4 linked regions of the Saccharomyces cerevisiae S288C genome follow. The protein of the gene in region 4 interacts with the protein of the main gene of each other region in a biochemical or structural test. Each region holds a gene or a part of one and is shown on either strand. Other genes may lie near its edges. The genes, in order: LDB19, ACK1, ART5 and RSP5.

What was found.
Region 1: the proteins of RSP5 (region 4) and LDB19 form a complex in vitro, tested with the Saccharomyces cerevisiae proteins (4 studies listed by BioGRID, with this or other methods).
Region 2: of the proteins of RSP5 (region 4) and ACK1, one has a biochemical effect on the other in vitro, tested with the Saccharomyces cerevisiae proteins (3 studies listed by BioGRID, with this or other methods).
Region 3: the proteins of RSP5 (region 4) and ART5 form a complex in vitro, tested with the Saccharomyces cerevisiae proteins (4 studies listed by BioGRID, with this or other methods).

Annotation. Positions count from the first base shown.
Region 1 is NC_001147.6:915,487-924,012, forward strand, and holds LDB19 (Ldb19p), read right to left. Parts: upstream 5,577-8,526; coding exon 3,120-5,576; downstream 1-3,119. Other genes in the region: dolichyl-phosphate-mannose-protein mannosyltransferase PMT3, read left to right, coding at 544-2,805; PRO2 (glutamate-5-semialdehyde dehydrogenase), read right to left, coding at 6,049-7,419; FRT1 (Frt1p), read right to left, coding at 7,746-8,526. UniProt on the Saccharomyces cerevisiae protein: May be involved in protein-linked oligosaccharide phosphorylation since the deletion reduces the negative charge of the cell surface.
Region 2 is NC_001136.10:93,663-101,976, forward strand, and holds ACK1 (Ack1p), read right to left. Parts: upstream 4,292-8,314; coding exon 2,420-4,291; downstream 1-2,419. Other genes in the region: HEM3 (hydroxymethylbilane synthase), read right to left, coding at 1-83; YDL204W-A (uncharacterized protein), read left to right, coding at 471-623; RTN2 (Rtn2p), read left to right, coding at 943-2,124; mitochondrial 54S ribosomal protein uL10m MRPL11, read left to right, coding at 4,813-5,562; TRM8 (tRNA (guanine46-N7)-methyltransferase), read left to right, coding at 5,899-6,759; MGT1 (methylated-DNA--protein-cysteine methyltransferase), read right to left, coding at 6,839-7,405; YDL199C (uncharacterized protein), read right to left, coding at 7,628-8,314.
Region 3 is NC_001139.9:622,783-630,701, forward strand, and holds ART5 (Art5p), read right to left. Parts: upstream 4,303-7,919; coding exon 2,542-4,302; downstream 1-2,541. Other genes in the region: YGR067C (uncharacterized protein), read right to left, coding at 1-2,004; Rho family guanine nucleotide exchange factor ROM1, read left to right, coding at 5,024-7,919. UniProt on the Saccharomyces cerevisiae protein: May regulate endocytosis by recruiting RSP5 ubiquitin ligase activity to specific plasma membrane proteins in response to extracellular stimuli.
Region 4 is NC_001137.3:406,167-414,659, reverse strand, and holds RSP5 (NEDD4 family E3 ubiquitin-protein ligase), read right to left. Parts: upstream 4,472-8,493; coding exon 2,042-4,471; downstream 1-2,041. Other genes in the region: small subunit rRNA maturation protein LCP5, read right to left, coding at 1-179; rRNA-processing protein NSA2, read left to right, coding at 481-1,266; DSE1 (Dse1p), read left to right, coding at 5,597-7,318; casein kinase YCK3, read right to left, coding at 8,273-8,493. UniProt on the Saccharomyces cerevisiae protein: E3 ubiquitin-protein ligase which accepts ubiquitin from an E2 ubiquitin-conjugating enzyme in the form of a thioester and then directly transfers the ubiquitin to targeted substrates.

The sequences.
Region 1 (8,526 bases), on a different chromosome or scaffold from region 4:
AATAAATGTAATAATTCTGGTACGGTTGCCGGATGTTACTAAAAAAGTAAGTAATCTGTTTACTTGAACTTCCTCATAACTAAGGAATACAAACGTTTACTGCGGCTTAAAAATTCAACAGGTTTACTCTCCTAAGTAGTATTCTCTTAATTTCTGCCTTGTTAAGAGAATACTTCCCTTTTCTGTAAGTATGTTACATTTCTTTATAGTAATCATCCTAGAGGCATTACAGCTAAAAGGAACCTGTCCCGGGTTAGTATTCCAGATGACTTGACGAATGTTTGCGTTAACGAAAATGGATATGTAAAGAATGAATGAGTTACCACCCTGTAAGAACTCGTTTAAGAACAAAGCTCAGATCTAGATTAGGCACTCGCGCCCTTTAATTGAAAATCGCGACGCGAGGAAAGGCAAATATAATAGGCCACCTGGCCGGTGTACAATAGAAAATCTCTAAAGAAGGGCATTCCAACTCTTCCTTTCGACATAAGAGTAAAACAAATATTTGTGTGCTCCAAATACCGGCAAATAAAATAACAGACAATGCCGTACAGAGTGGCGACGGGCTACAGTGAAAAAAGTACTGACGATGATTTGATATGGAGAACGCCAATAGTAAAAGAGGAACTCGAGGATGCTGACAACTTTTTAAAGGATGATGCCGAGTTGTATGATAAAGTCAAGAACGAGAGTGCAGTATCACACCTGGATACCATAGTTATGCCGATCATTTTCACGGTACTGGGCATGTTCACTAGAATGTACAAGATTGGTCGTAATAATCATGTGGTCTGGGATGAAGCTCATTTTGGTAAGTTCGGCTCTTACTATCTGAGACACGAATTTTACCATGATGTTCATCCACCTTTAGGTAAAATGCTTGTTGGACTGTCTGGTTATTTGGCTGGCTACAATGGTTCTTGGGACTTCCCATCTGGTGAGGTTTATCCCGACTATATCGATTATGTGAAAATGAGGTTATTTCAAGCAATGTTTTCATCATTGTGTGTGCCACTAGCCTATTTCACAGGAAGGGCTATCGGATTTTCTAGGCTGAGTGTTTGGCTATTTACCATTCTAGTAATTTTTGAGAATTCGTATGCAACATTAGGCAAGTTCATTCTCCTTGATTCAATGCTACTTTTCTTTACCGTCTCTTCTTACTTTTGCCTTGCCAAGTTCCATACTATGAGAAAGTCTCCCTTTTCGGCTAGGTGGTGGCTATGGTTGTGCCTCACTGGGTTGAATTTGGGTTGCGCTATATCTGTGAAAATGGTAGGTCTTTTCATCATCAGTGTAGTAGGAATTTACACCATCAGTGAACTATGGAATCTCCTAAGTGATAGATCGGTGTCTTGGAAGGTTTATGTCAACCATTGGCTAGCAAGAATATTCGGGCTTATCATCATTCCTGTTTGCGTTTTTTTGTTATGCTTCAAAATCCATTTTGATCTGCTGTCCAACTCAGGGCCCGGCGACTCTACCATGCCATCATTATTTCAAGCCAGTCTGAACGGTACAAAAGTTGGTAAGGGACCACGTGATGTTGCTTTGGGTTCTTCTATTATTTCCATCAAAAATCAAGCGTTGGGAGGCGCTTTATTACATTCTCATGTCCAACCATTCCCAGAAGGTTCTGAGCAACAGCAAGTAACTGTCTATGGTTACAGTGATGCTAACAATGAATGGTTTTTTCAAAGAATCAGAGGAGTAGAGCCTTGGACTGATGCTGAGAACAAGACAATTGAGTTTGTAAAGGGTGGCGAAATGTATAGATTAATGCATCGCCTAACAGGCAAGAATCTACACACCCATGAAGTCCCAGCGCCTATATCGAAAAGTGAATATGAAGTTTCTGCTTACGGAGATGTAGACTTAGGTGACTACAAAGATAACTGGATTATAGAAATCGTGGAACAAGTAGGGGAAGAAGATCCAACACTACTACACCCGCTATCCACATCTTTCCGTATTAAAAATTCTATACTGGGTTGCTATTTAGCTCAGTCAGGTAAACATTTACCAGAATGGGGTTTCAGGCAAGGTGAAGTTGTCTGTTTAAAACACGCCTCCAAAAGGGATAAGAGAACCTGGTGGAATATCGAAACACATGAAAATGAAAGATTGCCACAGGGAGAAGATTTCGTATATCCGAAGACTTCATTCTTCAGGAATTTCATGCAGTTAAATTCAGCAATGATGGCAACCAATAATGCTTTGGTACCAAACCCTGAAAAGTTTGATGGTATAGCTTCATCTGCCTGGCAATGGCCAACCTTGAACGTCGGGGTAAGATTATGCGAATGGAGTGAAAAATCTATAAAGTACTTCTTATTAGGATCTCCTGCGTCCGTCTGGCCCTCAAGCATCGCAGTTTGCGCACTGATAATACACGTTATATTCTTAACTCTGAAATGGCAGAGACAATGTGTTATCCTATCCGATCCAGTCGAACGTGACGTGTTCGTTATGGCAGCCTTTTATCCATTGCTTGCTTGGCTTTTACATTATATGCCATTCGTAGTGATGTCAAGAGTTGTATACGCTCACCACTATCTGCCCACCCTTTATTTTGCCTTAATGATCTTGTCATACTACTTCGATATGATTACCAAACGTTGGGCTACAAGAAACACTGGAAAATTTCTAAGGCTAGGAGCTTATATTGTATACGGATCAATCGTGATCGCTGGATTTTTTTATTTCTCTCCTTTTAGTTTTGGGATGGATGGTCCAGTAGATGATTACGCGTACTTGGCATGGCTACCTACGTGGCAGATTGTTGAAGATATACGTAACACATAGATATATAGAATGATCAAAAACTTTTCTTCACCACACAAAAAATGTTAATTGATGCGCGAAATATCTTTTTCGACTTATGCCTTCTTCTTTATCATAACAAAGCTATGTACCTACGACGAAATGAAGATATTAATCCAGTCCAGCCTTAAGAAAATACGAGAAAAAAAATGCTCAAGTGTTAAACAATGCCTGTATGTAGTTATCTGTGAAATGCATCAAATCATGGTCAGGGTTTGCTTATTGATCAGATTTGTAGTTTTCAGGTATCTAAGATAAAAATATATGGTAAATACCTTTAACGAATATTATAAAATCTACTGGGTTATTCTATTGGAATCTAGAAAATCGGAAAAGTTTTGTATTCTGATATCTCTTGTGCTATGTGGTGTCAACACATGTCCACGAAAAGGTACACTACCCTGGACACTAACAACACTTTCCAGTGGTGGTGACTGTACTGTGGTAAGGGATCTTTGCGAAGAGGAAGCAGGCTGGTAGTGATGTGCGGTTGGTGGTATCGTTAATTTATTTTGTGTGATCGTTACTTCCTGTACGTTAGGACCAGGTTCGAGCCCTTGGCTCTCATAGTTCCCAATATCTTCATCGCTGCCGCCCACAAAATCATCCTCTGATCTAACAGGAGTACTCATTGTTGAATAAAGTTTATTTTTGATTCCATTATTTATAGAGAGCTCGTAACATGGTGGCGAGAGCAACTCGACATCTTGGTAAATGGGAGGAACTTCTTCGTCCCAGGAGATTCCAAGTCCAGATCTTTCAGTGACTGTTAATCTGAATTGCATTCTTAAAACACGTGCTGCACCAGTGGGAACACTCACTATATTAGAGTTACTAGCACCGTTAGATGCCTTCTCCTTATTAGTACTATGGTTGGACTTATTACTATTCACCGGTGTTATATCTTCAGGCCCCATGCGCCGTACTTTCGGTGTATTTCTATTTGCAAAAATTGGAGATAATTCAGCTAAGCGTTGATCAGGATTATGAACATTCATCGTATTGTTATTAGTTTCTTTCTTGTTTTTGGAGTTTGGTTTCCGTATAGGTTGCCCATTGGCATATTGCAATGTTTCTTCTGCAACAACTATTTCCACTGCCAAGATGTGGCTTACATACAAACCTAAATTTGGATCCTGTATATCGCAAGCCACATTGATGCTGGGCTTCTTATTGCCCGTGGAAGGAGTTTGTAGTGTCGATGCATGCATTACCGGATTAGAGACGCCTGAATTAAGTCCCATACAATCTATTTCTGTAACTAGCTCAATCTTTCCATTATTGTCAAAATCGGTTTTCCATCCACTCTTCATTTCTCCCTTAGATATTATCCGAACCTCTTCCGTAAATAAACTACTGTTGTTTTTTAGCTCTTGTTGAAGTTGTTGTTGTCTTGCGCGTTGTTGCTGCATTAGTAACTCCTGACGCAAAGCGTCGTCACTGGGATGGATGAATTCGCTACCGGGTTGGTCTTCCTCATCTTCATTAACAGGATTTTCATCATCAAGTCCAACATTACCAGTTGACGCTGGACCCGAAGAATTAGGTGCTTGTTCACGACCGGGCTCGCCTGGAAGCCTTTGCGACGGCATATTTTCTAAAGAGTTTACTGCAACCCGGATTTGTGGGCCTAGTTCACCATAACGCTTAATATGACTGCGTGGCTTTTTACTTTTTTCTGACTCTTTTATTTTAACCTGCTCTTCTAACTGCCTCAATTCATGCTTGTGCACTGGACAAGCATGTGCTTTAACTCTTGTAGTTTCTTCAATTCTCCAACTCAATTTACGCATTCGCCATCTCCTATCCCCCGAAGAAACACCGTCTAATTTCATCTCCAAAGGAAAAGTAGATTTAGGATATACAACATTAGGAAGAACAGCAGCAGCAGTTAACTCTGTAGGAGGAAATACTCTTAGAGAATTCTTATCAGGCCCGCGCGGTATACTTCGAGTCACGGCGATGGGCATCGCTAGTTGCAACAACCGCTTCTTAGAAGAGCTTCCTTCTTTCCTGGGAGTAGAATGACCGGAAGAAAAGGAATTTCTATGAGGATCTATATACGTCACAACAGCGATAAGTTCGTATTTGACCTGGGTTTCAGCCGTAGCACCTAGCGATGAAGAACATGGGACAGACCCCGGTATAAGATAGGAAAATGGGTAAGAGTGGCTTCCAACAGAAAGATCCTGGGTATTACTCTGAATTTCCCAGCTTTTCATGTTTGTAATCTTTGTTTTACAGTTCATACAGGTTTGCATTGAGGAAATATTAGGCACAAAGGGTTTATGGAAATGGATCTTCTGTACCAAACTTAGTGTTACCGACGTAATGGTGATCTTGGTATAACCAGCCATTATTCTTAAATTAGCAGGCGTGGGAGAATGCGATATGGATGTAGAAGATGTTGAAGGAGAGATATTTGACGTCGACGCTGACAAGCTGGACAATCTAGATGAAAGTGCAGAACCAAATGTACTCTTTCTTTTTAGGCTTTTAGAAGTAGTCGACACATTAGATTCTGTATTCTTTAAAGATTTATCTTCAGCACTACTGTAGGGATCGACAACCGTCACAGTAAAAAGTCCACTTAGCACAGCACCTGAGGATTCCATAGCAGACCCATAAAGAACACATGGCGGTGATTCTACATCAATAGAAAGGGTTAGTGGAAGACTTTGTCCTTTTTTGTTGCTATTACTGTAGCCGTTATGATTGGACTGATGAGTAGATGTAAGACGTGAAAATGCCATGGTAAAACGTATTGTTTAGTGAAATGTATACTAAGTAGGAGTAAAAATCAGCAATTTCTGGTGTTGAAATGTGAACAACAGCGTTCTCCTCCGAAAAAGCAAGCTATAACGTTGCTCAACTTTTGATTCCGAAATCAGAAGCTTAAATAAGGAAAACTGAAAGCTAATTGGATGAAGCACACAAACTTAATCAACCTTATTATTCAAAGTATTCGGAGCCCTAGTAAAAACTGCCTATGATATGTATGAGTCGTGCTTTTCCGTCTGGTTTAATAAGTGTTCGAGTCAGCTCAAATCGCATTTTTGTCTTGAAGCTTCCGCCAAAAGAAAAAAAAAGTCGTTAATAGCGATACAAGTAAGCAATTAACTATCACACCATAGAATGAGTTGACAAGAGTACTTATTTGATGGCTTTACTGAACTATGTATACACGTCCTTCATACATGGAACTTAGCTTTATCCTAAAAATTTTTATAATGTCACAGTCTTTATATCTAAATCCTTGTGAACAAAAGCTTTGTTACCACCAGCACCAAGGTAGTCACTAGCAACCTGGCCGTCACCTCTTATTTGGTATTGATAACTCACCAGACCGTCCAAGCCAACTGGACCACGGGCGTGAATCTTAGAGGTAGAAATACCCACTTCAGCACCAAAACCGTACCTGAAACCATCGGCAAATCTAGTTGATGCATTCCAGTAAACACCAGAGGAGTCGACACCCTTCATAAATTTTTCAGCGTTTGCTTTATTTTCCGTTACAATAGCGTCGGTATGTCTCGAAGAGTGTGTATTTATATGTTGAATGGCCGATTCTGTAGATGTAACAAACTTGGCAGCCAAATCCAAGGATAAAAATTCCTTATCAAAATCTTGCTCCTCATCAGCATCAACGGTTTTGCATTGAATTGCTTCTGTCAATTTCCCTAACTCATTCAGTTTATCAAAATACGCAGTTTTCAAATCTTTTGTAGCGTGGATAGTCACTCCGCCTTCCAAAGTTAAGTTTTCCAGAACTTCCCACCACTTAGAGAATTTTGGGTTAATCAACAACGTTTCCATAGCGTTGCAACCAGCTGGGTAGTTAGTCTTTGCATCCAAACTAATTCTTTTTGCCTTAATCAAATCTGCGTCTTCATCCAAGTAAATTGAGCAGATACCATCCGCATGACCCAACACGGGAATTTTTGTAGTGTCCTTGATTTTTCTGACTAAGGCATTGGAACCACGAGGAACAACTAAGTCGATGTACTCATCTTGATCCAACAAGTCGGAAACATCCTGTCTGGTTTCGATCAATTGCACAGAGCCCACAGGAACACCAGTCTCACTTTGGAATTGTGCAATGGTGTCGTTAACGATCTTTGCCATTTCTCTGAACGTGTTCACAGACTCTTTACCACCCTTCAAAATTGCAGCATTACCAGACTTGATACTCAATGCGGTAATATTGGCAATAACTTCTGGACGGGATTCAAAGATAACTAACAAAACGCCGACTGGAGCGGTTACTTGGTACAACGTCAAGCCATCATCTAATTCCCTGGCCATTTTAACCTTGCCAACAGGGTCTTCTAGTTCGGCTACATCCTTAATACCTTGTAACATAACTTCAAATTTGTCCCCTTTAAATAGGTCGAGACGTTTCAATAAAGAATCCGCTAGGCCAGTCTCTTTGGCAACAGCTAAATCGATTTTATTCGCTTCTTCAATGGCATGCGCATTAGCCTTCAGGGCATCGTGAATTTTGTATAAAATATCTGATCTGCCCTCGTTTGAGATGGTTTTCAAAATATTCCCTGCTTTACGGGCATTTTTGGCTATTTGTTGTGAACTGGACATCTTTATATTGGTTGCCTGTGCTCCTTTTTGTTCTTACTCTTTTTACCAATACGCTTTTACTTTTTCTCTTCTTTTCTTGAAGCTTTTTGAAAAACGTCTGTCGACTTTTTTCATTTTTTGACTCATTGACCCAACGCCACAAATGAACAAAGAAATTTGGCCACTGCATCGCCTTTCCTGCCCCATTGATTCAAATGTCCATGCGCGTTGATTGATGTGTGATATATATATATATATATATGTATATAGATGTATATTATTATGTTCAGAGGTGATTTTATCTTTGTACGCGTACCATTTTTGTAAAGTGACCTTGTTTTGACTTTTTAACGAGTAAAAAAACGAGTTAACAAATTCTTGACGTAAACGATAAAGCCGCCCATCAAAAGAAATGCAATAATGTCAATGATGAAATACCTATACAGGTAGATGGATTTCGTGTTGTTCTTCGATTTATTTAACACGTTTTTCAGCTCTATCAAACTATCCATTTCCCTTAGAGAGGACTTTTGTTTATTTAATCTCTCTTGGCAAACCTCCATTCTCCTTTCCAATCCTTGTAATTGCGCTACACTTTCTTCGACTGATATCTTTAATTCATTAATAAACGCCTTATTGTCATCCTCGTCAAAGTCTGATTTCAACTTGACCAAGAATTGATTAATCACCGTGGTTCGCAAGGTGGTCATTTCGTCTAATAAAAGGGTTAACTCTCCTGATAGAAGATCATACTTTTGGATAGTTTTTTGAACGTTGTTTTCATTCTTGATTATTGTATCGTTTAAATTTCTTCTCATCTCATTCTCGATCTTCACTAGAAGTGTCGAAATATGATTTTGATAATAATTCAATTCATCAATGTTATCATTCAAATTTGAGTTGCTCTTCGAAATAGAGTTTGAGCTAGAATCAGGAGTGGCTGCGGAGCCATTATTATTGTTCACCTTCAGTACACTCTTGAACCTAGTGGAAGAATCCGCTGACTTCTGCCTATTCAGTAAATACTTAAATCCCAAGGTATCGGTGCCAGGTGCAGTGGAAGAGCCTGATGAATTCCTTGGTTTCCTCTGGTTAGTCAAATATCCTAAAGAGGGATATACACCGTTT
Region 2 (8,314 bases), on a different chromosome or scaffold from region 4:
TCGATCAGTTTTAAAACATGGTTGGATTGTATTACCGCCAATTTCGATTTTCTCCCACCAATATGTAGAGTTTCAGGGCCCATAGTACGTGTGTATTTACCAACTACAAATTTATCTAGATTTTCTTCGCTTTTCTTTTTTTCTATTGTTCTAGATATTAATACGGGATGAGAAGAACAGAATATTCAAAATCTAATACAGCCCTGTACCATGCAAACACGAGCGTCAATCTGCCAATGACCTTGAATTCAGGCTATGTGTAGCAATAATACAGATAGTTAGTAGCCTCGTTTATATAAAGCGTTCCTTTACTTTTTCATTTTCTTTCTTTTTTTATGTTTGATTTTTTTACTTTTTCACTTTAAAAAATTGCTGAAATTTTCGTAGCCAAAAAAAAGACCTTCATTGCTTACTCATCGGTTTCTTATTGGTCAGACGCTCCCCAGGGTCAATTGACAAGGAGAGAAGGAATGTTATATGGGAATTGCTGCGTAAAGATGGTCAAAAATCCTGGACTGCCGTACGAACGACAATGTAAGGATGACTGCATTAGCCAGAAAGACATCTTTACCCCCGGTGCTGCCAGGGAGCAAAATAATTACGAAAAGTGGACGCAAAGTTAACTTAAACTACAAGGGTAGCAGCAGAATGTGTCGGTGGTACCGGTGTGATAATGCCCCATTTGAGATGCTTGTAATTGTGGCCTAGCAATAAGAACGCAAGGCGTTTTTGTTGAAAGGAGAACAAGGTTAGACGGTGACGTTTAGGCGCATAGGCAATCTCCCCTTATTGTTCACCCTTATTTCCACCCTCAAACGATAAAGCTTGCTACTTTGATGAAAAAAATATATAAAAGGGATTGAAAAGCAGATCAATTATGTAGCAATAGTAGTAATAACTTGTTCAATTGCTTGTCTCAACTTGCCACAAACTATCATCAACATGAATAGGAATACGACTACCAATAAGAACGCGAATTTGAATAACAGTAGAAATGCTAACGCTCCCGGTGAAGCAGGTCATCAGAACAAGACGGGATTGATATACTGGACTAACCCTAGCAAGTCGGGTGCGAGCTTTGCTGCGACTCTGGTGAGTTTGCTGATCCTCAGAAATGTCAATGTTATTTCTGTTTTACTTAAGATCGGATACATGGTGTTGTTCACGAGTTTTGCGGTGGAGCTTTCTACAAAGGTGCTATTTGATAAAGGAGTAGTGTCTAGGTTTGGCATGCAAGAGTCTCCGGACCTTGTTGGCGTCTTAAAGCCTCATATCGACCGCGAATTGGATCGTCTGCCTGCGTTAGAGGACAGAATCAGAAAGTTAGTGTTTGCACACAGAACAAGAAACAATTTTACCATTGGTGTTTCCCTCTATTTCTTGCACGGCCTATTTGCTATATTCTCTATGAACACTGTTTTGATAATGACCACCATCTTTTTGTACACTGTGCCTTTAATCTACGATAGAAAGCAGGCTAGAATTGACCGTGCTATCGACAGGATGAAGGATCTAGTTATTCATAGGTTTCACAAAAATTACAACAAGGTGGTTGAAAAGACTGAACCATACATTGACAAGATTATCCCACCCCAAACCGATGAAGGCAGCTACTCAACCTCTATCAGTAACGAAAACAAATCTTCTACTTCTCAACGTAACAAGAGCGGCCTTTCCTCTTCTGAGTTTGACAACATGAACGACACGTCAGCCTCCAAAAGTGGCAAAGACAGCTATTCTACCTCTCAATATAACCGAGCCGAATATCCAGTTTCTCAGAATGAGAATATTGGCACCTTAAAATCTGGGAAGCAGGAAATACCAACAGAGAAGGATTTCAACAACAGGCATGAAAACTTCAGTAAACCAGATGTCAAGACATATGATCCAAGAACAGTTGATATTGAAGAAGAATTAGCAGCTCATCAGCGTGAACTGGAGCAAAACCTAAAAGATGGTGATTACAATCTGGTAGGAAGCAAGGAAATCCCAGATCCAATCACCGTTCCAGCTCCAACTAGACACACCACTAAACCCGCCGAAAGCCAATCGATTCCCATCAAGAATAATGAAACCTTACACAAAACCACGCACGGCCTAAAGCAAAAATTGCAACACGCATAATCTAGTTTTTTTTTTTTTCTCTCTTCTTTCTAGCTAGTAGTTCATTTCCTTTTCTTTTTTTCAAAGAGGTCATATTTATCACCAACTATATATTTTTTTGAAGAAAAGATATCATTACAACGATAAGTAGTTACAATATTTTTTTTATTTAGTTTAAAATAATGAGTAAATGACGTCGCATTTCTTCGCTTTTGTTATTTTTATTCTCCTCTCATTTTTGAGGAGAATGTTACAATATTTTACTAATGTCCTGAATAATATTTGATTTATGGCATAATAAAGAAATGCGAATTCGTTAATTTGTCAAACTTCGAAGAGCATCAACTGCCTTCCTGAATCCCATTCTTGCAGCCCTCTGATAATATTGTTTGGCCAGATCCAAATCAACTTCACAACCGACACCTTTTTCGTAATAAAATCCTAAGGCAAATTCAGTGCGGGCTAATTTACCGTCTGAACACTTGCTGCTCTTCAAGGCCCAGTTGAATGCCTCTTTATTGTTTGGTTTCAAAATATTTGGTGCTCCCGTTAAGTACCATCCACTTAAGGATAACATTGCCATCGGATTCCCCTTCGGCTGAGCAGCAGCAGCTTTGGAATACCAATATATGGATTTTTTGGCCACCACTGGCAACCCTAGGTCTCCAAACTCATAACAATTTCCTAATTTCCATTGCGCTAAAGGGTACTCAAAATCTTTGGCACATTGTTGGTAGTATTTTATTGCCAGTTGAGAGTCTTTTCGTATGCCGTTCGCAAATAATAGGTTCTGGATTTCTGGCGGCAAAACACTGAATTCATATATTTTACCTAACTCATATAATGTTTGTGGAGAGTCACCCTTTTGGGCAGCTTTATCAAACCATTTAATAGCTAGCAATACATCAGTCTTTTGCATGTTCAGACCGTATAAATGGCTCATCCCTAATTTATACATACACGCAGAATTTGAACAAACTTCTGCGCCATGCTGGTAGTATTGGAAGGCCTTTTTTATGCATTGTTCTTTGGTTGGTGATGGATCCAAAGAAGAGGTGCCCCTTTGGTATTCAAAGCATACACCTGCACGGTAGCATGCATCTGAATTGTTCAATTTCGCAGCTTTACAATAATATTCCAGCGCCTTTTCATCATTTTTAATAACGATGTTTTTGTTCTTTATAGGTAAATAGGGTTGGTGTGAATACAGCGTCCCCATTAAATACATGGCAGGTGGCCATTTTAAAGTTATCAATTTTGTGAGCACCTTGAATGAATGTTCCAAAATGACTTTCTGGTTTTTGAGCATTTCCTCAGGCTTTAAGCTTCTTTTGAGCTTCTCCGCGTTTATGTTATATTGCGATATGAAATCCTCATTAAAGGCATATGTAAGTAATGTTTCACACCATTGCATTTGTATCTCGGGGGTGAATTTTGAAGAGTCAGTAATTGTCTTCTTGTACACTTGATAGAAAGCCAATGCCTCTGGTGAATAGGAAGACAGTTTGTCCTCACCACCTGAGGACCCATTATCGTCTGTCTTCGCGCTCCCAGTGGGTGGTTGGTTGATTTTTTGTGGTGGAACAGGATTATTATTCAAAGGTCGTATTGGAGCTTTTTCCTCGGTTCTGTAAACTTTTTCCTGCAGTATCCTAGATTCAGATTCCTCATAGGGTGGTGGCGCTGAGTTGTCCCTTACAGACTCTGATATTCGATTTCCACTGCTTATTGATGCATCTTGTACAGCTGGTGAACCCAAACTCTCTTTTGTAGAACTAAAATTGAAAGGAAGTTCATACCTACTACCAGTACTGTTGGTGCCATTATTGGCATATCCTATTTCACCTGTTGGCTTGGAATTAAAAATGTCCATGCCGTTATTACTATTTATGGTTACTGGAGTGCCTAATTGACCACCATCAGCATTCCCGTCTGTGAAATTCAGCGCACTCAAAGGCAGCGATAATGATGAGGAAGATGAAGGGGATGTAAAAGGAATAGCTGGTGTGAGTTCAACGATAGAGTCATCCACTGGATAGGGTGCAGGCACTATATTTTGAGCTGGCAAACCATGCCTATCCGAATTGGCATTTCCCAATTTATGCGAGGACTCCCGCGCCCTTGCTGGTGGAAACATGTTAATGTGTTTGTCATAGAGGTTAGGTTGCGGTTGGCCCTGATTAACCATTGCCTACTGTATTAAAACAAAGTATTAAAACGTGGTGGTACACTCTGTACAAAAGAATAGAAGGAAATGAAAAGAAAACGGAGTTAAAATCTACTTCATAAAAAGAGACGCTTCCAAATCCAGTCTCTACCACGTTCTTGTATATAATTTGAGCAACTCAAATTAAATTACCGGGATATCTGCTTATTCTACAAGCCATAGCATCCAGTGCTAAGGTTCATCTCAAGCCATCTTCAATACACTTGATAATTAGTCGTCAATTTTAAAATTAGGTTTCGTTCTTGAAGGCACTTAACCTAAGCTTTTTACTATATGACCTATTAAACAAGTCTTTTTCATAGTGTAACCTAACGTTTATACACTAATAACCCTAGGGCTTAGTAGAGATTCATACAGAAAAAAACGTAGAGTTATAGCAGTAAACTGAGAAAAGAAAGAAGGTTAGTACAATTGAAGAGTAAGGAAAACAAAAGCTTTAGACCTTATTGGAAGTGCTTGGGCGCGGAGTGTGATTATAAATAATGTTGCAGCTAAGGTTTATGCCTGGATGGGTCCCCAGAAATGGTTTTTTTGGTTTGAAGGAGACAATTGGTACAGTACATAAGAGATTTTATGCTCTGGCTTCTGAACAACCCTCAAGAAAGACAGTAAAGCCGCTGGACTCGAGGAAGACGTTTCTCATCGATACATACAAGCATTTAATGGAGAACAGTTCTATGATTTTTTTTGTCCATTACAATAATCTTTCCAAAACAGAAGATCACCATTTCAGATTCAAGATTAAACAGACAGGAGGGAAACTCACAAAAGTAAGAAACAACCTGTTCGAAGTCTACTTGAGAAATTCGCATCTGCCCGACCCATGTGGATTCGTGAAGCGTAAAGAGCAAAACTGGAAACATCCACTCTTGCCACTACTGAAGGGTCCTACGGCCACAATTACATACGAAGACACCAACCCTCAACAAGTAGCCAAGCTATTGAAGGTTCTGCAGTCAGCACAAGACAAGCTGATGGTGATTGGTGCAAAAGTAGAAAACGAAGTTTTGAATGTGGAAAAAATAAACACTTTTAAGACTCTCCCCACAAAGCCGGAAATGCAGTCGCAGTTAGTCAGCGTTTTGCAAATGCTAAGTGGGTTGGGTTTGGTTCGTACGTTGGAAAACAGTTCAAATGCATTGTATTTAACACTAAAATCTCACAATGACAACCAAAAACCTAAAGAGGATGTGGAGTCAACTACAGATGCAGAATCGAAGGGATCAAAGTAAAAAGAAAATGCCCGTAATTCGACAAGTTTTATAAAGGTTTTACTATTCAATCATGTACATACATCATCAAAAAATAAAAAGACAATGAAGCAATAACGGTAAATATACTTTAGTCTATGTATTGACGTCAAAATTACCTTTCTTTTACCTTTCTTACCTTTTTACATATCTCAGCGACCGTTGAAAAAAAAAAAAAATGAAAAATTTTGGTGATGACTTCAGCAAAAAATTTCAGGATATTTCTGACATTTCACTTTATTAAAGCGCCACAAAAGCTGGATTAGTATAGATTCAGCAGTTCCCATAGGATAAAATTTTCAAGCGTTTATTGTTAAGATGAAAGCCAAGCCACTAAGCCAAGATCCAGGCTCCAAGCGTTACGCATACCGTATAAATAAGGAAGAAAATCGTAAGGAGTTGAAGCATGTAAAGATCAATGAAAGTTCTTTGGTGCAAGAAGGCCAAAAGATCGACTTGCCAAAGAAGAGATATTATCGTCAAAGGGCGCATTCCAACCCATTTTCAGATCACCAGTTAGAGTACCCAGTATCTCCCCAGGATATGGATTGGTCCAAATTGTACCCTTACTACAAAAACGCGGAAAATGGACAAATGACAAAGAAGGTGACGATTGCTGATATTGGCTGTGGATTCGGTGGGTTGATGATAGATTTATCACCAGCCTTCCCTGAAGATCTTATCTTAGGGATGGAAATTCGTGTGCAGGTTACAAATTACGTGGAGGATAGAATTATTGCCTTAAGGAACAATACAGCTTCAAAACATGGATTTCAAAACATTAATGTCTTGAGAGGTAACGCTATGAAATTCTTGCCCAACTTTTTTGAAAAGGGCCAGCTTTCTAAAATGTTTTTTTGTTTCCCCGATCCTCATTTCAAACAAAGAAAGCATAAGGCAAGAATTATCACTAACACCTTGCTGAGTGAGTACGCATATGTTTTGAAAGAGGGCGGTGTCGTGTACACAATTACAGACGTCAAAGACCTGCATGAGTGGATGGTAAAACATTTAGAAGAGCATCCTTTATTTGAACGGTTGAGCAAAGAATGGGAAGAAAACGATGAATGTGTGAAAATAATGAGAAATGCCACAGAAGAAGGTAAAAAAGTGGAAAGAAAGAAGGGTGACAAGTTCGTCGCTTGTTTCACAAGATTACCAACGCCAGCCATATTGTAACATAGATGTATAACTAGAACAATTTACCACATATACATAACTATTTCTTATGTTTATTTTCCTAAAATCCTTTATCCAACTACAATCTACTAAGGCTTAAGCTATTTTCCTTTTCATTATTTAATAACTGTTCTTTCAGTTTACAGCTCCATTTATATCCGGTTAATTTTCTATTGCTACCAACGATTCTATGGCAAGGTACTAACAATGCCAGGTTATTTGAGCCGCAAGCTCTTCCGACAGATCTTGCGGCAGTTGGCTTCCCTATTCTCTTTGCAATATCACCATATGTTACGACGTGGCCGTGTTCCACGTTTAAAAGCTCATTCCAAACTTTACGTTGAAAATCTGTTCCAAACAGGAACTCAAAGGGAATAGCGCCCGATGGTAATGGCATTTTGTTTTCTAAACATATTGTATAATTTTCGATTGATTTCTTATATGTTTCTGCCTCTTTTAGTTCCTGTAAATCGTACATTGTATCCTGTTTCTCATGTTTCTTCAAGAAGCCTTCCACCTTTCCCAATAAAAAAAGCTTATCATTACCTAACGAGGCAAAAACAAGGTTTTGAGTCTTTTCCCTAAACACCAAAAATGCACCAGTCACTTCAGTTTCAATGAATGTATAGTAAAGCAGTTCCTTCATCGTTGGTCCATTTAGATCAAAAATGCGACCGTTTTCAATTTTTTTTTTGTGCATATGCTATATCATTACTTGATTAATCTTCCTTGTTTCCACCGCATTTTAAATGCCCTGCCAGGCCAATAGCGCCGTGCCTTTTTTCTAATGACTATAATAAGAATATGTATGTAGGATAAAACTAAACATTTATACTTAGGATGAAGCAAATATTTTTATGAGGCCATACTAGGCAACTGCCATGTCTCCAGGCGAATTCTGGCCTCCACCTGAACTGGGTTTATTCGCAGCAATGTTGTCGCTGATATTTGGATCGGTTCTGTTATGAAAACTGAAAAATTCTCCAGTCCTTGATGGTCCTGAATCAGATGTAATGAAATAAACATTTTGTGCAGAACCGTGTGTCTGGTTCGATAAGTTTCCGTTTTTGGGTAGAATCTGCTCATTTTGAATAGATGAATAGGCTTGATTATTTTGTTTGATACTACTTCCTAGAGTGTTTATCTGATACGCGGAAAAAGATGGTGAGGAGGAGAATTCAGAACCGGTATCGTCAAAAACATCATCATGGTTACCGCTACCGTTTCCGGTAGAATCATCATCAGAATCTAACCTTTCGTCACGGGTTTCTATAGGAAAAATCTTCAGCACAAATATAATGGAAATAAAGGAAGATAAAGATGGAATAAGATAAAACTTCCAAGACAGACGGTCAATAAGTATAGGGGTTATTAAGCTGACGAACCACTTAAAAATCCAATAAAAGTTTGAGACTAGTAGTATCACTGGGGCCTGTGACAAGTGAGGTAGAAGCTCAATGGTCATAACCCATCCTATAGAATCCCAACTGATGAAGTGCGTAAAAAGAAAAACAGCAAATAGTATTGATATATACCTCGTTGTGCTCTTGGGAAA
Region 3 (7,919 bases), on a different chromosome or scaffold from region 4:
CAATGCTTTCGTCTGGTCATTCAGGTGAGGGGAGTAGATTAAGTATGGGTAAAGAATATTATCTCTTAATGAAGATACAATAGCATGCAGTAGTATATGGTAAGCAATGAAGGAATCTGACCAAAAATCGAACAAAATGGAGTGTAAGTCTGTCACCAAGTTCTTTTGGTGTGTTATAATGTAGTCATTCACAAACACTTCAACCTTCTCAAATTCCTCTTTCTCTGTTGATGAAAGGTAGCTCTGACGTTGTACATAAATGGTATCGAACCAGAAATATAACATTAGGTGAACATTGGGGTTTACTAGTAATTGAGATACTTGTGATGGTGAAACATCCGAGCTTGCAATTAACTCCGATGAAAACAATTTTAGTTGGAAGCTGACAATGTCGGTAATTAACTGAATATTCCTTGGGTTTAAAGATGCCAGCGTGAAAGACTTCAAATTAAGAAGCATTGATATGATTGATAAGTTCGTGGTGATCAAGGTTTCATCAACAAATGAGGAAGAATGATGAAGTAAGCACGAGGTCGATACCTGTGGAAAGTTATCAATGAACCATATGTTCCTTGTGGTCCCATTTCTCAAAGTCAAGTTGTTGATGAATTCGAACCAAATCGTTTCCCACAATAACCAGTTACTTTTCGATTTGCAGTCCGTAATCCTGGCGTTCATAACGTTCGCAAATAAAGAGGGGTTTGCACTAGTTTCAGGTTTGATCGGCTGCTGCATTACGAAACATTCATTCAAGTAAACCAGCAAATCATGCACTCTAAAATCAGATGGCAGCTCTTGCGGATAAGTCTTCTTTATTATAAAATACACGTACGCGGAATCTGCCAAAATATTGATATGCTTTAAAGTTAAGTCAGTAGTGGACATTGACGGTCCCTTGTATATGAAGTCCTTAAGTGGATTAGACGAAATAAACTCTTGATTGACGAACCAACCAAATATTAGTAAAGAATCGTTGTTGAAGTTGTTTGAATCGCGCAAGATATTGACCCATAGATCGAATATGAACCATGCATTTTCCTTACTATTCAAATAATGGTAACTGGAGGATGCCACGGTGAATGGCTTCAGAATATCTTGAAGCATTGAAAACACATCGAACTTTTTAATGGAATTAGAAACAGGAATGTTATTCTCCAACATTACTAGAAGAGAATAAAATAGAATCAAGGCAAAAACATCATGTTGCTCTGTCTGTGACAAAATGTCCTCAGTGTCAAAGTCATTGTCATGTTTAGATGAGCTAGCATACAAATTCGTACAACAGATAAACCATAGTTTTTGAGAATCTTGATTTAACGAAATGGACATACCCAGACAAGCTATTATGAGACCAAAAGGCTTGTTAATCCAAAAACTTTCCACCAGCTCGTCATTTTGTAGTGATGAGAACAGGTCTGGAAAGAAATTTTGGAAGATCTTATTTTCTACCAAGTGGCTTACACCCATTCTGAAGAAAGTTAGAATATCTCTTGAGCTAATAAAATCTAATGAATATTCTTGCAAAATTTTTACACTGATGGAGGACTCCAACCGGCTTTTAACCTGCTTAAAGCGGCTTTTCCCTTTCTTTAAACTAGAGGACTCCTTCCCAATCACACAACGTTGCTGCTTATCCATTTTTTCAACATTACTACTATGATAGTGAATATTGATAAGGCCGCTGTTGACCTTAATCATCGAATTAACGAGTGTTTCCATTTTGATATCTCTGGGTGAAGTCGAATCAACGTCACCAACGCCAAGTGATACAGGGATATCAGCCTTATCGCCTGTCATTGACGCGTAACTGGATAAGAGGAAGGTTCTGTGGACAGTCCTGATGTGTCGCTGTAAGAGATCGCGTCTAACAAAAGAGTGTTTACAGACTTGGCACTGGAAAGGCTTCACGCCCGCATGAGACCTTTCATGCCTTATCTTGTGCTCGGATCTCGAGAAAGGCTTCAAACAAAAGGAACATATATATTTTTTTTGACCCGCAGCCATAGCAGTGATAATGCAAATACAATTACTGTATATCAACAATTGTCTTCTCCCGAGAGAAGGTTTTAAATAAAAGCGACAAGTAAAGCTCTTAAGCCATGCCAACTGGCATGAAGAAGAACCGAAAAAGAAGAAATAGAAAGCAGAAAAATGTAAAACTAAACTTTATAAGTACTTTGAAGATGCGTTCTATATAAATATGTGGGGTTAAGTGAACATGACTCGAAATCTATAATGCAGCGATTACGATAAGTATCCACATTAAACGTCAATTATTTTGCGTTGTAAGCATATGCGCGGGGGAGGGGGCGCACCCTTGAAGTGCAGTCTGTCTATCATATTACTGAACCATTTCCTTCGCTTGACTTACATCATTGGCAACACATGCCTGGATCGCTTTAGCGGCTACCTTTAGTCCATATTTTCTTCTATTACCAGATCCCATCATCCCCCTTTGTCCGATTGACGACCATTTTGCCGCGGACGATCGGAGGGGATTGCCAACGCGGGGTAGCCGACTCGGGGCGCCGAGAGCGGGGATCAGTCATCGTCGCAGTAAGCGGGTACGGACCCTGTCACGTAAGACGATGCCGATGCCTGCGCCTGCGCCTGCTCGTATGACGGCACTGTCAGTACCACCGAATCGGCGCCGAGCGGCTGTAGCGCCGGCATGAGATGATCGTTGGTGCTCTCGTGATAATTCGGTGGCGGTTGTGGCAGCGCGAGGTGCGCCGTTGTAGTGGAGTTCAGTTCAACGCCTGGAGTCAGACCCTGCGCGGGGTAAGTGGTTAAAAAAAGGGGTACTAATTCGCCAGGGCGGAAGTGGATCTTGCCATCGTGTTTATCAAACAACACTAGACGGCCTTTCATAGGCAGATGCGGCGAAATAAATAATAACATAGGTAATTGCGCCTTGATCTCCAGGTTCTTGTATTCGCCATCCACTTGACGTTGTAAAAGAATACGTACCTGCAATTTGTGCATGACACGGATTAGGTTGTCTTGCAGACAGCAGTCTTGAGTTATTTGTTTGAGGTTATCTGGAATTGTAAAGGGACAATCGACGTCAAGTTTGTCCGTCAGCGGGCCGAAGTCCGCTAGATGAGTAATTTTCATGACGGCTATTTCATCATCATAAATTTGTGCGCTGCTGTCCTTCATTGCGTAATATTGGATTAGCGCCATTTCTATCCTATCCAAACGAATGTTCTTTTCGAAGGGGAAAATCTTAATCTTCACGGGGGTTGTGCTACCAATAGGAACAGCCCTACTCGGGATGGACGTTTCGTATTGCAACTTGTCACGCCAAGTATTACCCACGCTAATTTCTTCTTGCATGGCAAGATTGTCCATCGATAATGTACGAAGGATTCTGAGATACTTGAACTTTTTGATGATAATTTTATTCTTCGTTCTCATACCATTGCCGCTCGTACTTGTGCTACCGATTGGACCGTGAGGAGAAGTATGAACGCTCAGATCAGTATCCCATAACTGACGTCCATCTATAATGGCTTCAAAGGAATACAGTATGCTACCACTTTGTAGTCCCTCGATTGTTTCGCACACTTCTGGGGGGAGCATTGTATTGAAGGGTAGTTCGTAGTTGCCTCTTTTCATTAGGAATAAGTACGAACTTCCAGACCCGTCTCTGTTACTATAACTATGGCTATTGTTATTGAGGGTGTTACTACTACTGCTTCTACTACGGGCGTTTTCTCTTAAACCCTCGAAAGGGGTTCCTGTAACACCATTTTCTGGTAGCTCTAGTATTTTTCTGTGGGAAGAATGGGTCTTTCTTCGAATTATTTTGTTGAAAACAGGGCTCGAAAGTGATCTCTTGCTTAGAAATATTGCGTTGCCGCTGGTGTCCATATCTTGGTTGCTTGTACTGCGACCGCTACTACTGTTATGTTGATTTTCCGCATTTTCCCCACCGACTAAAACATCCCCTTTTGAAGAAACCAATAAGTTGTCCCAATAGCATTCGAAAATCTTACGCTTTTCCTTAACTAGACTTGCCAAACTACTGCTATTCTTCTTATATCGGCCAACTTGCAAAAACTCCAATTTGAATCTTCCTACCAATCTCAGCGAAATTTTCTTCACTACGATCTCATTTTTCACTGAAATCACTAAGTTTCCTGATAAAGGTATAGACGACAGTTCCAACGGTGACCCTTGGATCAAAATTATGTCCTTGTACGGGGAGTTTATTCTAATATCAAAATAACTTATTCTCTCTCTTTCCTTCTGCTCTGAATGCCCACCGCTGCTAGATAGCGAACTAAGTGAAAACATGGTCTTGCTTCACCCTATTCTCGCCGAGAGCTGTACAAGATATTTTTTACTTTTGCCATCTTATACTCATCCTAATCATCTGTTTCATTTTCCTTCTATTTCTTTTTTTTTTTTTTTTTTTTTTTTTTTTTTCAGTTTTCGAAGAAACTGCCTTTTTAGAATTGTAAAAGACGAAGTGAAGTATTCAGGAGTATATTATTACATACATACAAAGCAAGACAAAGAAACATTTTTAGATCTAACATTTTACTTCAATTGTTTTTGTATTCCTTATAATAAGAAAGACCTGCTGTTTAATGTGGGAGTAATCCGTCCCCTACTCGATCTTCAATAAATTGTCATCTTGTATCTAAAGGAGCGCTCCAGTACTCCAATTAAGCACCACCTAGTGCGTCTAGTGTCGATTTTTTTTTCACGCATACGTTTGTATGTTTCTTAAATTTCCCATGATTTTTTGTTGCCAATGTCATATCTACAAACTCTATACGAAAGTAAACGCACTTCATCTTTTTTGCCCTAAAACGGCAATATTTAGACATATCATAAGGGGCCCAAGGGAGAATCGTTAATTTTAAACTTTTCTTTGCTCTTGAATGAAAAAGTAAATAAATAAAACTAAATCAAAAAAAAGAACGCCACGTTTGAATTTTAAAGCAAAAATTTTGTTGATTTAGTAATGATATAAATAAAACCAAGTCGTTGGTAAGAATTTGGTTAGGTTATGAATAGTAATGAACTGGATCTAAGAAATAAATATTTTTATGAGATATTCGGTAAGAAAAGAAAATCAGATACTTCAACCCCTACTCAGTTGTTCTCCGGCTCCAAAGTTCAGACAAACATCAATGAAATTTCTATCACTAACGATGAGGATGAAGATAGTACTGAAGATGAAAATAAGGCTTCATTGAAGGATTATACACTAGGGCACGACACCGGTGCACGGTATAGGATAGCACCGGACTGTTCTTCCCACCAATTAAAGGCATCTCCTGTCCTACATATTTCAACAAACCTTAATTCAAGTCCACAATCCTTCACAGGCGATCAGATTTCACCTACTAATAAAAAAATTTCAATAAATGATTCGACCAGACAAGATAAAGGTAACAGTTGCACTACCACTTCATCACCTTCTCAAAAAAGATCGAATGTTTTGCTTCCTCACGTAAGAAAACATTCATCTCCTTCACTATTATCATTTTCCAAAAACAGTGGCAGTCATATGGGGGATCCAAACCAGCTATCTACGCCTCCAACTCCCAAAAGTGCAGGTCACACGATGGAGTTACACAGTTCATTCAATGGAAAACATAGTTCTTCTAGCACCTCTTCTTTATTTGCATTAGAGTCACTGAAAACCCAAAATAGACGCTCATCAAACTCTTCCAATCATTCTAGTCAATATCGACGCCATACTAATCAACACCAACGTCATCATTCAAGGTCCAAATCAAGTCCTGTCTCTCTGACGGAAATATCCATGATCAAAGGCACGCCTTTGGTTTATCCTGCACTTTTATCACTAATAGCAATTAAATTCAAACAGACCATCAAATTGAGCACGCATAAAAAGATGGGGTTACTTTACAGAGATTCCTTTACAGGAAAACAAGCAATTGATACTTTATGCTTGATCATAGGAAGCTTAGATCGTAATTTGGGCATGTTGATCGGAAAATCGCTGGAAGCTCAAAAATTGTTCCATGACGTACTTTATGACCATGGCGTAAGAGATTCTGTACTGGAGATTTACGAGTTATCTTCAGAATCAATTTTTATGGCACATCAGTCGCAGAGTTCTACTTCAATTGCCAACACATTTTCTTCATCATCTTCTTCAGTTAATTCGCTCCGTACTAAAACTGAAATATATGGTGTTTTTGTCCCATTGACACATTGTTATTCCTCTACATGCTCTCTGGAAAAACTTTGCTACTCTATTTCTTGCCCCAATCGTTTGCAACAACAGGCTAATTTACATTTAAAATTAGGTGGTGGTCTTAAGAGAAATATTTCGTTAGCACTCGATAAGGAGGATGATGAACGAATTTCCTGGACAAATTCTGTACCAAAGAGCGTATGGGAATCATTATCCAAACAACAAATCAAAAGGCAGGAGGCAATATATGAGTTGTTTACTACAGAAAAGAAGTTTGTAAAATCTTTGGAAATCATCCGAGATACTTTCATGAAGAAATTATTAGAAACGAATATTATTCCATCTGATGTAAGGATAAATTTTGTAAAGCACGTTTTCGCACATATCAATGAAATATATTCTGTCAATAGAGAATTTTTGAAGGCTTTAGCACAAAGGCAATCATTAAGCCCAATTTGTCCTGGAATTGCAGATATATTTTTGCAGTATCTTCCTTTCTTTGATCCTTTTCTGTCATACATAGCATCAAGACCATACGCAAAGTATCTAATTGAAACCCAAAGATCAGTTAATCCCAATTTTGCTCGTTTTGACGATGAAGTGTCTAATTCTTCCCTGAGGCATGGGATCGATTCATTCCTATCTCAGGGTGTTTCAAGACCTGGTAGATATTCACTGTTGGTAAGAGAAATAATACACTTCTCGGACCCAGTAACAGACAAAGATGATCTACAAATGCTAATGAAAGTCCAAGATCTTTTAAAGGATCTAATGAAAAGGATTGATAGAGCAAGCGGTGCAGCACAAGATCGTTATGACGTTAAAGTGTTAAAGCAGAAAATTCTATTCAAAAATGAATACGTTAATCTGGGTTTGAATAACGAAAAAAGGAAAATCAAGCATGAAGGTTTACTCTCAAGGAAGGACGTGAACAAAACAGATGCGTCCTTTTCAGGAGACATTCAATTTTACCTACTCGACAATATGCTATTATTCTTGAAATCAAAAGCTGTAAACAAGTGGCACCAACACACTGTATTTCAGAGACCAATTCCACTCCCTTTACTGTTTATTTGTCCGGCTGAGGATATGCCACCCATAAAAAGATATGTGACAGAAAACCCAAATTGCTCAGCGGGTGTGCTCTTACCCCAATATCAAACGAGCAATCCCAAGAATGCTATTGTATTCGCCTATTACGGTACGAAACAACAATATCAAGTTACTTTGTACGCGCCGCAGCCGGCCGGATTACAGACATTAATAGAAAAGGTGAAACAAGAGCAAAAAAGGCTCCTTGATGAAACTAAACATATTACTTTTAAGCAAATGGTAGGTCAATTCTTTCACTCATACATAAATACTAATCGCGTCAACGATGTCCTAATCTGTCATGCTGGTAAAATTTTATTGGTTGCAACAAATATGGGACTCTTTGTTCTTAATTATGCTACATCGATCAATCAAAAACCAGTGCACCTTCTGCACAAAATATCAATTTCACAGATCTCTGTATTGGAAGAATATAAAGTTATGATTCTTCTAATTGACAAAAAACTGTACGGCTGTCCTTTAGACGTAATCGACGATGCAGAAAATGCAGATTTTCTTTTCAGAAAAAATTCTAAAGTGTTATTTAAATATGTTGCAATGTTCAAAGACGGTTTCTGTAATGGTAAAAGAATCATTATGATTGCACATCATTTTTTGCACGCCGTACAATTATTGATTGTTA
Region 4 (8,493 bases):
AGCGATACTTTCTCAGCAGGCTTCTTAGCGTCGTAAAATAGATGCTCATGTAGTTGGTTACTTTCAGGAATCTCATCGGTCGCAGAATTACTATAAATCCCAGACAACCTCTCCAAGGATTCTGATGTCGCAGTGAGCGAGCCGTTGATATCTTTTAATAATGCATTAAGTTCAGACATTCTTGGATTTGTGTGTTAGTTGACAATTTTAATTTCTTCATCTCTTTTGACACTTTAGAATGGTATAGCTCATCGGTTTCTTTTCTTCAACCTTGCAGGAAAGGCGTAAAAAATTTTATGTCGTCGGCAACGGTTCTAGTAACAATCCGATGAAAAATTTTCCGGACAGCGATGAGATGCACTTTTAAGACAATTGAATGGATTAGGTATCAGTTAGAGAAGAACTTGGTTTTCGTATCTGGCGTTTTTATCTTTAGTCAGTAGTCAGTCTCGTATCAATACTGATATATACAACGAAACAATGCCTCAAAACGATTATATCGAGCGTCACATCAAACAGCATGGTAAAAGATTAGATCACGAAGAAAGGAAACGTAAGAGAGAGGCAAGAGAGTCTCATAAGATTTCTGAACGGGCCCAGAAGTTGACTGGTTGGAAGGGTAAGCAATTTGCTAAGAAGAGATATGCTGAAAAGGTATCAATGAGAAAGAAGATTAAGGCACATGAACAATCTAAGGTCAAGGGTTCATCCAAACCATTGGATACCGATGGTGATGCTTTGCCGACATATCTATTGGACAGAGAACAAAATAACACAGCCAAAGCTATTTCTTCATCGATCAAACAAAAGAGGTTGGAAAAAGCTGATAAGTTTTCAGTTCCGTTACCAAAGGTTCGTGGTATAAGTGAAGAAGAAATGTTCAAAGTTATTAAAACAGGTAAATCTAGATCCAAGTCATGGAAGAGAATGATAACGAAACACACTTTTGTGGGTGAAGGTTTCACTAGAAGACCAGTTAAAATGGAAAGAATCATCAGACCAAGTGCGTTGAGACAGAAAAAGGCAAACGTCACTCATCCGGAATTAGGTGTAACTGTCTTCTTGCCAATTTTGGCAGTTAAGAAGAATCCACAATCTCCAATGTACACTCAGTTAGGTGTTTTGACTAAAGGTACCATTATTGAAGTTAACGTTTCGGAATTGGGGATGGTTACTGCTGGTGGTAAAGTTGTCTGGGGTAAGTATGCTCAGGTCACAAACGAACCAGACAGAGACGGCTGTGTCAATGCGGTTTTGCTTGTATGAGCAAAAAAGTGCTCCGTTTTTTTTTTTTTTATCTCGATGGTTCAAATTAGGTTTACTTTTAATTTAATAATACGATATACGTCTACAAGCACAAAAGAACAGGTATATAAAAAATGTACGCTCTGTCCTGTTCGGGTTTCTCTTTTTACTTCTCGTCATTCTCTGTACAATATAACAAATCAAGAATTTATTATCCGGTTCTTTTTTCCTCACGACAAATAACCGATACTCTCCGTGTGTAGGTGACTGGCAAGAGAGGGATTGCCTAGTACGCTCGTTTCAAGTATGTACCTCACGAGAGCAATTTCAACTGTAGTATAATACCCAGGTCACTATTCAGTTTTAAAATGCAAGAAAATTAAAAAACAAAAAACGTATGGTTGTAAAAAGCAGGGCACATTATATGTATATAAATAAAAAAAAAAATTAATAAAATCTAAAAAGAGGATATAAAAAATAAGAGGCGTAAGGCAATATAAATTATTGGTATCATGCTCCTTTTGAAAAGGAAAACCTCCTCTTATGGCGAACTTGAAAAGAACTTTGCGTAATCATCAAAAAAAGCACTTCACGTTTTCCTGCATTTTCTTTGCTGCTTTCCATGTTGCTGTAAAAACAACAATGATTAATCATTTCATGAGCAACTCAGATAAAATTAACAAAAAAGAGTTTTCTCTTTACTATTGTTAGCTGAAATATAAAACAAGATGATTGAGGCAGAAAGAATGTTGGGAAAACGGACACCATAAATAAAAAAAAAATTGGTGCGGAATAATCATTCTTGACCAAACCCTATGGTTTCTTCCACGGCCAATGTTAGCTTCTGTTTCATGCTGTCATAATCAACGTATTGTGGCAAATCAACTCTGTTAAAACATGTGTGAGATTTTGGCAATTGTTGTACTTCACCAGCTTTTTCAATAGTGAATCTTCTTGGACCATCAGAGCCTTGCAAATCTTTAAACCCGTTGACAGGTATACGAGAAGTACCAGTGGTGAACTGCAATAAACGGGCTCTTTGTTCATTATCCCATTCACTGACACACTTCCAAAACCATTGAATGACCTCGTCTGACTCTTGGTAACCACGATAATCAGTGTGTTTCTTCCAATCTTCAATGTCAATTTCCGCAATACCACCGATCAATAGTTCTAGTTCACGCTCATCAAACACAGTTACTAAGTCTTCGGGGATTAATTCGTTAAAACCATCCATGAATGCCTTAAATTGTTCTTGAACTCTATCAACAATTCTCCATTGGGTATATAATTCGACATATTCTTTCTTATTACCATCAGTAACTTCAATATTTCTCCCATCTGGCTTCAAATCCACTGTTACAACTTCACCGAATCTTTCATCGTCGGCACTGAACGTCAGATCCAAGACACCATCTATACTATTCTCAAGCATCCAGTTTAATGAGTTATACACCTCTGCGTCAACACCTTCCATATCTTGCAATACGACTTTTTTACGTAGCATCATTTTGTAAAGTGCACCTACAAAGAATGCATCCAAAAATCTTCTATGGAAAACACCAAGACCCACAACTCTACCAATGAATTTGAAATAGTTCAAATGTTCGGGGTTGATGCCACTGTTAGGATTTATTTGAATGGTATAGTTGTCATACGCAGAATATTCAAACAAACAATAAAATGGATTAAACATCTCATGTGATAATAAAAAGAAAAATTCTCTGGAAACACCACCGTAATCTAAACCTTCCTCACCATCAAACTTGATCATTAATCTTTTCTTTAAATCTTCTGGGGTTTGTCTCATAATTTCTTGATAAGCATCCTCAAAAATGTTCTTTCTACGTACTTTAATATGACATTGTCCCGGCAATATTCTAAGAGCGGGCTGGGACCTGAAATAAATAACCTTACGTCTGAAGTCACGCTTGTATTGTGGAACATTTTGGTCTAGCGATGATGGAAGTCTTGGGTCATCCCAGGTCGTTGTTTTTGTATTGTGGTCAACGAAATATACACGTGCCGTATTGGTCAATCTCATTTCCCATCCAGAAGGCAAAGGACCTAATTGGGAGACCGGTTGTTGCTGAATGGTGGTATTTGTAGGGCCATAAGTACGTATATACTGTTGTCTCCTTGGATCCACCCAAGTGGTTGTTCTAGTATTATGGTCAACGAAATAAGCTCTTCCTTCTGGAGTAAATCGCTGCTCCCAGCCTGAAGGTAATTCGCCTAAACCAGATGTGGTACCACCTGTAGCTGCAAACGCTGCTGCTGCTGCACCATTAACAGGAGGTATATTGGAACCACCTCCCACTTGAACTGTTACAGAGGAATTATCTGATGATCCACCAGGTAAAGTTCTTCCCCTATGCTGCCTTCTCTCTAACTCAGTATTTGCATTTAATTGGTTGCCACGTTCGGCTTCTGTTTGATCGAGCGTTGGACGTTTCCAAGTGGTAGTCCTTGTGTTATGATCGACGTAATATGTACGACCAAAGTTATCGGTCCTTCTCTCCCAACCAGGGGGTAAACGACCATACTGGTCTTCAAACGAAGAGTATTGTCTGGTAGCACTGGATGTGGAATTGGTGGAACGGTGACTGGTTGTTGCCGTATTAGTAGCAGCTGTTGTACCGCTTTGAAGAGTTGATTCTACTGCTTGCGCGGTGCCTCTGGAAGGATGAGACGTTGAATGATTACGGGTGGAGGAAGTAGAATGACCATTTGTTCGAGTAGTTGAACTTGTATTCGTACTAGAAGATGCAGTATGGCCAGAAGGAGCTTGTGAATGCGGACTTGACGAAGGTAGTTTTGATAAAACAACAATCAACCTACCGCTGACGGCCATTCCGTCATTAGATTTTTTTAAATCACGAGTAATAGTTTCTTCGCGAGGTCTACCACTCGATGTAGCAGTATCTTCATCCAAATGGCCCAAAACATCACCCACGCGGACGTTAACCACGCCAAGAAACCCTTGATCCTTCTTTTTAAATTTCTTTTGATCAAAGACTTGGATGGTTAAAATAGAATTTTCATTGATATCGTCGAATTTGAAAGTCTCATTCCAGTAGGGATTTAACGTTTTCTTCGCTGCGGATGTAGATTTGGTTTGGTAACCATCAATAGTCAGAACAGCAAACGGATCCGGGGAACGGAATACGTCCCTCTTATATAATGACTCTGCAGCCACTAACTTGACGGATATGGATGAAGGCATTTTTTTTCTTTTTTCTTTCCTTTCTGTTACTTTAAATATAATACCCAAGCTAACAAAGAAAAGGGAATAAGAAAAGGGGAAAATAGTTTTTGGTAAATTTATCGAACTAAAAACGCACTAAGAAAAAGCTGTGGCTTATGAAAGTGAAAGTCGAATAACACTATATTCGGTAGTTCCAACTAAAAGGTACTTACACACAAAAACAAGCAATTATTTCCTGCTGTTTTATTTGCTACGCACTCACTCTTCTAAAGAAGGACTGAACTGAAATTTTGACTCACTTGCAAAATGTGCTTCACGAATTATAGTAACAAGTCCAAAACTGTGGAAAAAACTGACAGCGCTTATTATCTTATAATCGTTTTTGTTTAACGAAAAAGTCGACTCTTGTAGCTCTAACGAAGAAAATGGAAAACAGCCTCAAAACACAACAAAGTCCTTTTATCAATTAGCAGATGCGATACTCGAGTACCCTAAAAATGGTTAAGCGTATGTCTTTTAATTGTCGAGATAGAAGCCCCCTCCCCCGCCAGCAAAAAATATTACCTTTCACCATGAAGATCACTGCAATTTGGTCTTTACCAAAAATTTCCACTAAATTTTTGTTTTTTCCCCTTTCTCGTATAATGTCATTATGTACGTAAGATCACATGATCGTATACTGTCACGTGACTGTGCGGCTGGTCTGCGCCAGCAATTTTTTTTTTCTGCTCTCAAATGTAAACAAACCAGCAGTCTGTTTTCTAAACAAATAAACATTAAAAGGTAAACAATACCAAATAATAATAGCAGCGTCAAAGCTACATTCTCAGTTCTCAAAGCTATTGTGTTGATTTCTATGTATGATTCAATGCCGGCATGATGTTAAATTTGCTGGTTTACTGAATAAGGCTTGGTTCATAACCAATTTGTAGTCATGACGACATAGCTGGGTGGGTGCTTACTGGTTTACATAAATAAGTGCGTAAACGTTTTACAATATATAAAAAGGTAGAAATATCTCTCCCAAGCTTTCCTCAAACTATCTTTTGGCTTCTTCTTCTTGCATGACTTCCAAATTTTAATCTGTGTTTGCTAAAAAATTTGATTGTAGGTGTGATAGTGAGAGTGACACGTATTAATATTATGCAAGATACCAAATACTACGAACCAACAAATATTTTTCGTCAGCCTGCTATTAATATAAAGAAGAGATCAGATAAAAAGAGGATTTTACAATCGATGATGACTTTATCCACATACAAAAAAACGTGGCAAAACAATACTTCGAAAATGAATTCACCGATTTTGCGAAAAGCATCAGACAACTTCAATGACTATTATACAACTAAAAAATTAAAATCAGATTATTGGAAACTGTACGGTGTTGATGAAAGTGAGTTATCCATACCTTCAGACATGTCCATTGTGGATAATATACTTCTAGTATCTACAATGAACGAGAAAGACAACTTGAAACTTTTTGAAATTTCCGCTGAGAAAAAGCTGAAGGAACTACAGACGATTACTGTTCCCGGTAAACCCATTACTTGTATCTGCTTATTGCCCATGGTAGATTTTCCGCCACAGATTTTCCCCAGCTCTCAAATAAATCCTAACCACAACCAATTAATATTGACAGGTCATCAAGACGGTATAGTCAATCTGATAGCAACTTCAACATATAAGGGATGTGCTAAAATAATAAAAAGGTTTAACCACAACAAGTTTCTAAAATCTACCGTATCAACGTCGATTCCGATTCTGGAAATAACGCCAAAAACAGCACCTATTTTGAAGGTTTCGCCATGGAACAAGACCGGTTTTGTTTCCCTTCTAAATGACTCCCTCTTTATATATGACTTGAAATCAAATCTTGATTGCATAAAAACACCTATTTTTTTGCAATCATATCCAGGTATAAATTCTTTTGCCGTTAATGAATTCCATGATCCCTTCTTACTGGCCTTAGTTGGCTCAAAATTTGGACCAAATGGCATCTCGCTGCTTGATTTGAGAACAAATCTCTATATTCCAGATATTTTAGATAATAGCATATCTGCAGGATGTGGAAAAGACCATTTGCAAAGAAAGAACACAAGTTTGGATTGCGTATGGATAAGTAATCATCACGTTGCACAGAGCTTGAACGATAAAATTCAAATTTGGGACATTCAATCCTGCGACGGTAAACCAGTTTGTGAATTATATGCTAAGAAAGGATACATTGAAAGTCTAAAATTTAACGAAAACACAGGCGCGTTATATAGCAGTGATGACCAAGGCTTTGTCATTTGTTGGGATTTACAAAACCTACAAAACATGAAATATGGTGAGTTAGTCCATGGATTTAACTCAATTAGCCTAGATAGTGAAAGTGAACTACTATTAACCAAGCAAGTCTTCCAATGTGGAAACATTATTGTGAGTGGTATGAGTGATAAAAATATTTGCTTGAAGAGCAATGACACTAAGGCCAATGGAAAAGGATGTGGATTTTTATTCCTTGATATGGCAAACGATGGAAGTTTAGTAACTCTTGACAATTTTTGTGAACTGGGATTACATCAAATTTGTCAAGTTCAATTCAATGTCGATACCGGTAAAATAATCGATGGTAATGGTACTGGGAAGAGTGGAATATCTGATTCTTCTATGTTATCATTATCCAATGAGAGTGACCATAGTATGACAGAAACATCTGATGATATGTTCTCAAATTCTGGTAATTGGGATTGTTCTTCAGCAAATACTGTTAGCGAAGGTAGATTGAATGATGACCAAGAGGATATCGTCTTCACAAAGAGGATGTATTCTGTAAATGATGTGCATTTAAGTGGATCTACTATTGATACTACTGTTGTCTAGTTTCCTTGAGTGCTTTCAAATAAAAACAAATAACATATCAATGAATCAAAGTAACATTTCTTTGAAGATAATTTCTTTGTCTGTCACTCAGAATGCCCTTTATTACTAACGACCATCCTCCTTGATGAAGGTGAAAATCAATAAAATTCAAATTGTGACCCAAGTCCAGTCAGTGGATCCTTCTGGTAACACAAGTATTCGGTTTTTTTTTTTTCTCCATGATCTGTATGTTTTACTAAGCTTTGAATTTTTCTTACACAATGTATATATATATATATGTGTGTGTATATCAAAACAGCGCGCGTAATTGTATGTAGCATTTAGAATCAAGTTCAATGCCGAAATTTGTTATGGTTGCCTACGTTTTTTTGGCTTCTTAATTTAATATCAAAATCTTCACGATATGCATTCATTCTCAAGTTTGTAATTGTGCATTTTTTTATATATAGTCCCGCTCTCAAGTGAATTAGAAAAGTAAAGTATACACGCAAAACAAGGGCGTAAATAAAAGAAAACGAAAAAGCAACTAAATAAAAGCTTACATCCAAGTATCAAAGAAGTCGCTCACGGTTTCTCCAATTCTTGAACCTTGATTAATCATAAATTACATATTATTTTGGATATTCTTAAAAAAATGCTATAATAGTGCTTGAAGATAGATTTAGCACACCAAAAACATACCGGGATTAATATATATGTGCGTGTAGTCTTTTGATAAAGGAATATACAGAAGGAAAACGATTACGATGCTGACTATGTCTCATTTTCTTCTTTTTCCTGTTTCTTTACCCTCTCCGGAATTCAATTATTGTAGATGATAAAATAAAGGGTAACAGAGAGAAAGAGAAACAAAATAATACATTATTGGAAAGTCATAAATTGGGAAAGAGCGGCATAAGGAAACAGCCAATCAAAAAAAAAAAGGAAAAAGAGAAAAGTATAAAAATCGCTTTATCAACAGCAACAAAAACAGCAACAACAATATTTGTATATTTTAGAACAAAATGTATCATTCTCGTCATCAGAATAAGCATCATTTTCTTGTTCGTAATTTCGTTGACTTTGATAATTGATATTCTTATTTGCAAGGTTTGTGTAGTGGTTTGGTAAGTTGTGCTCATTATTACTTCTTTTAGGGTTAGCTTTAGAACTTGAATATGGTACAAATGGTGAAT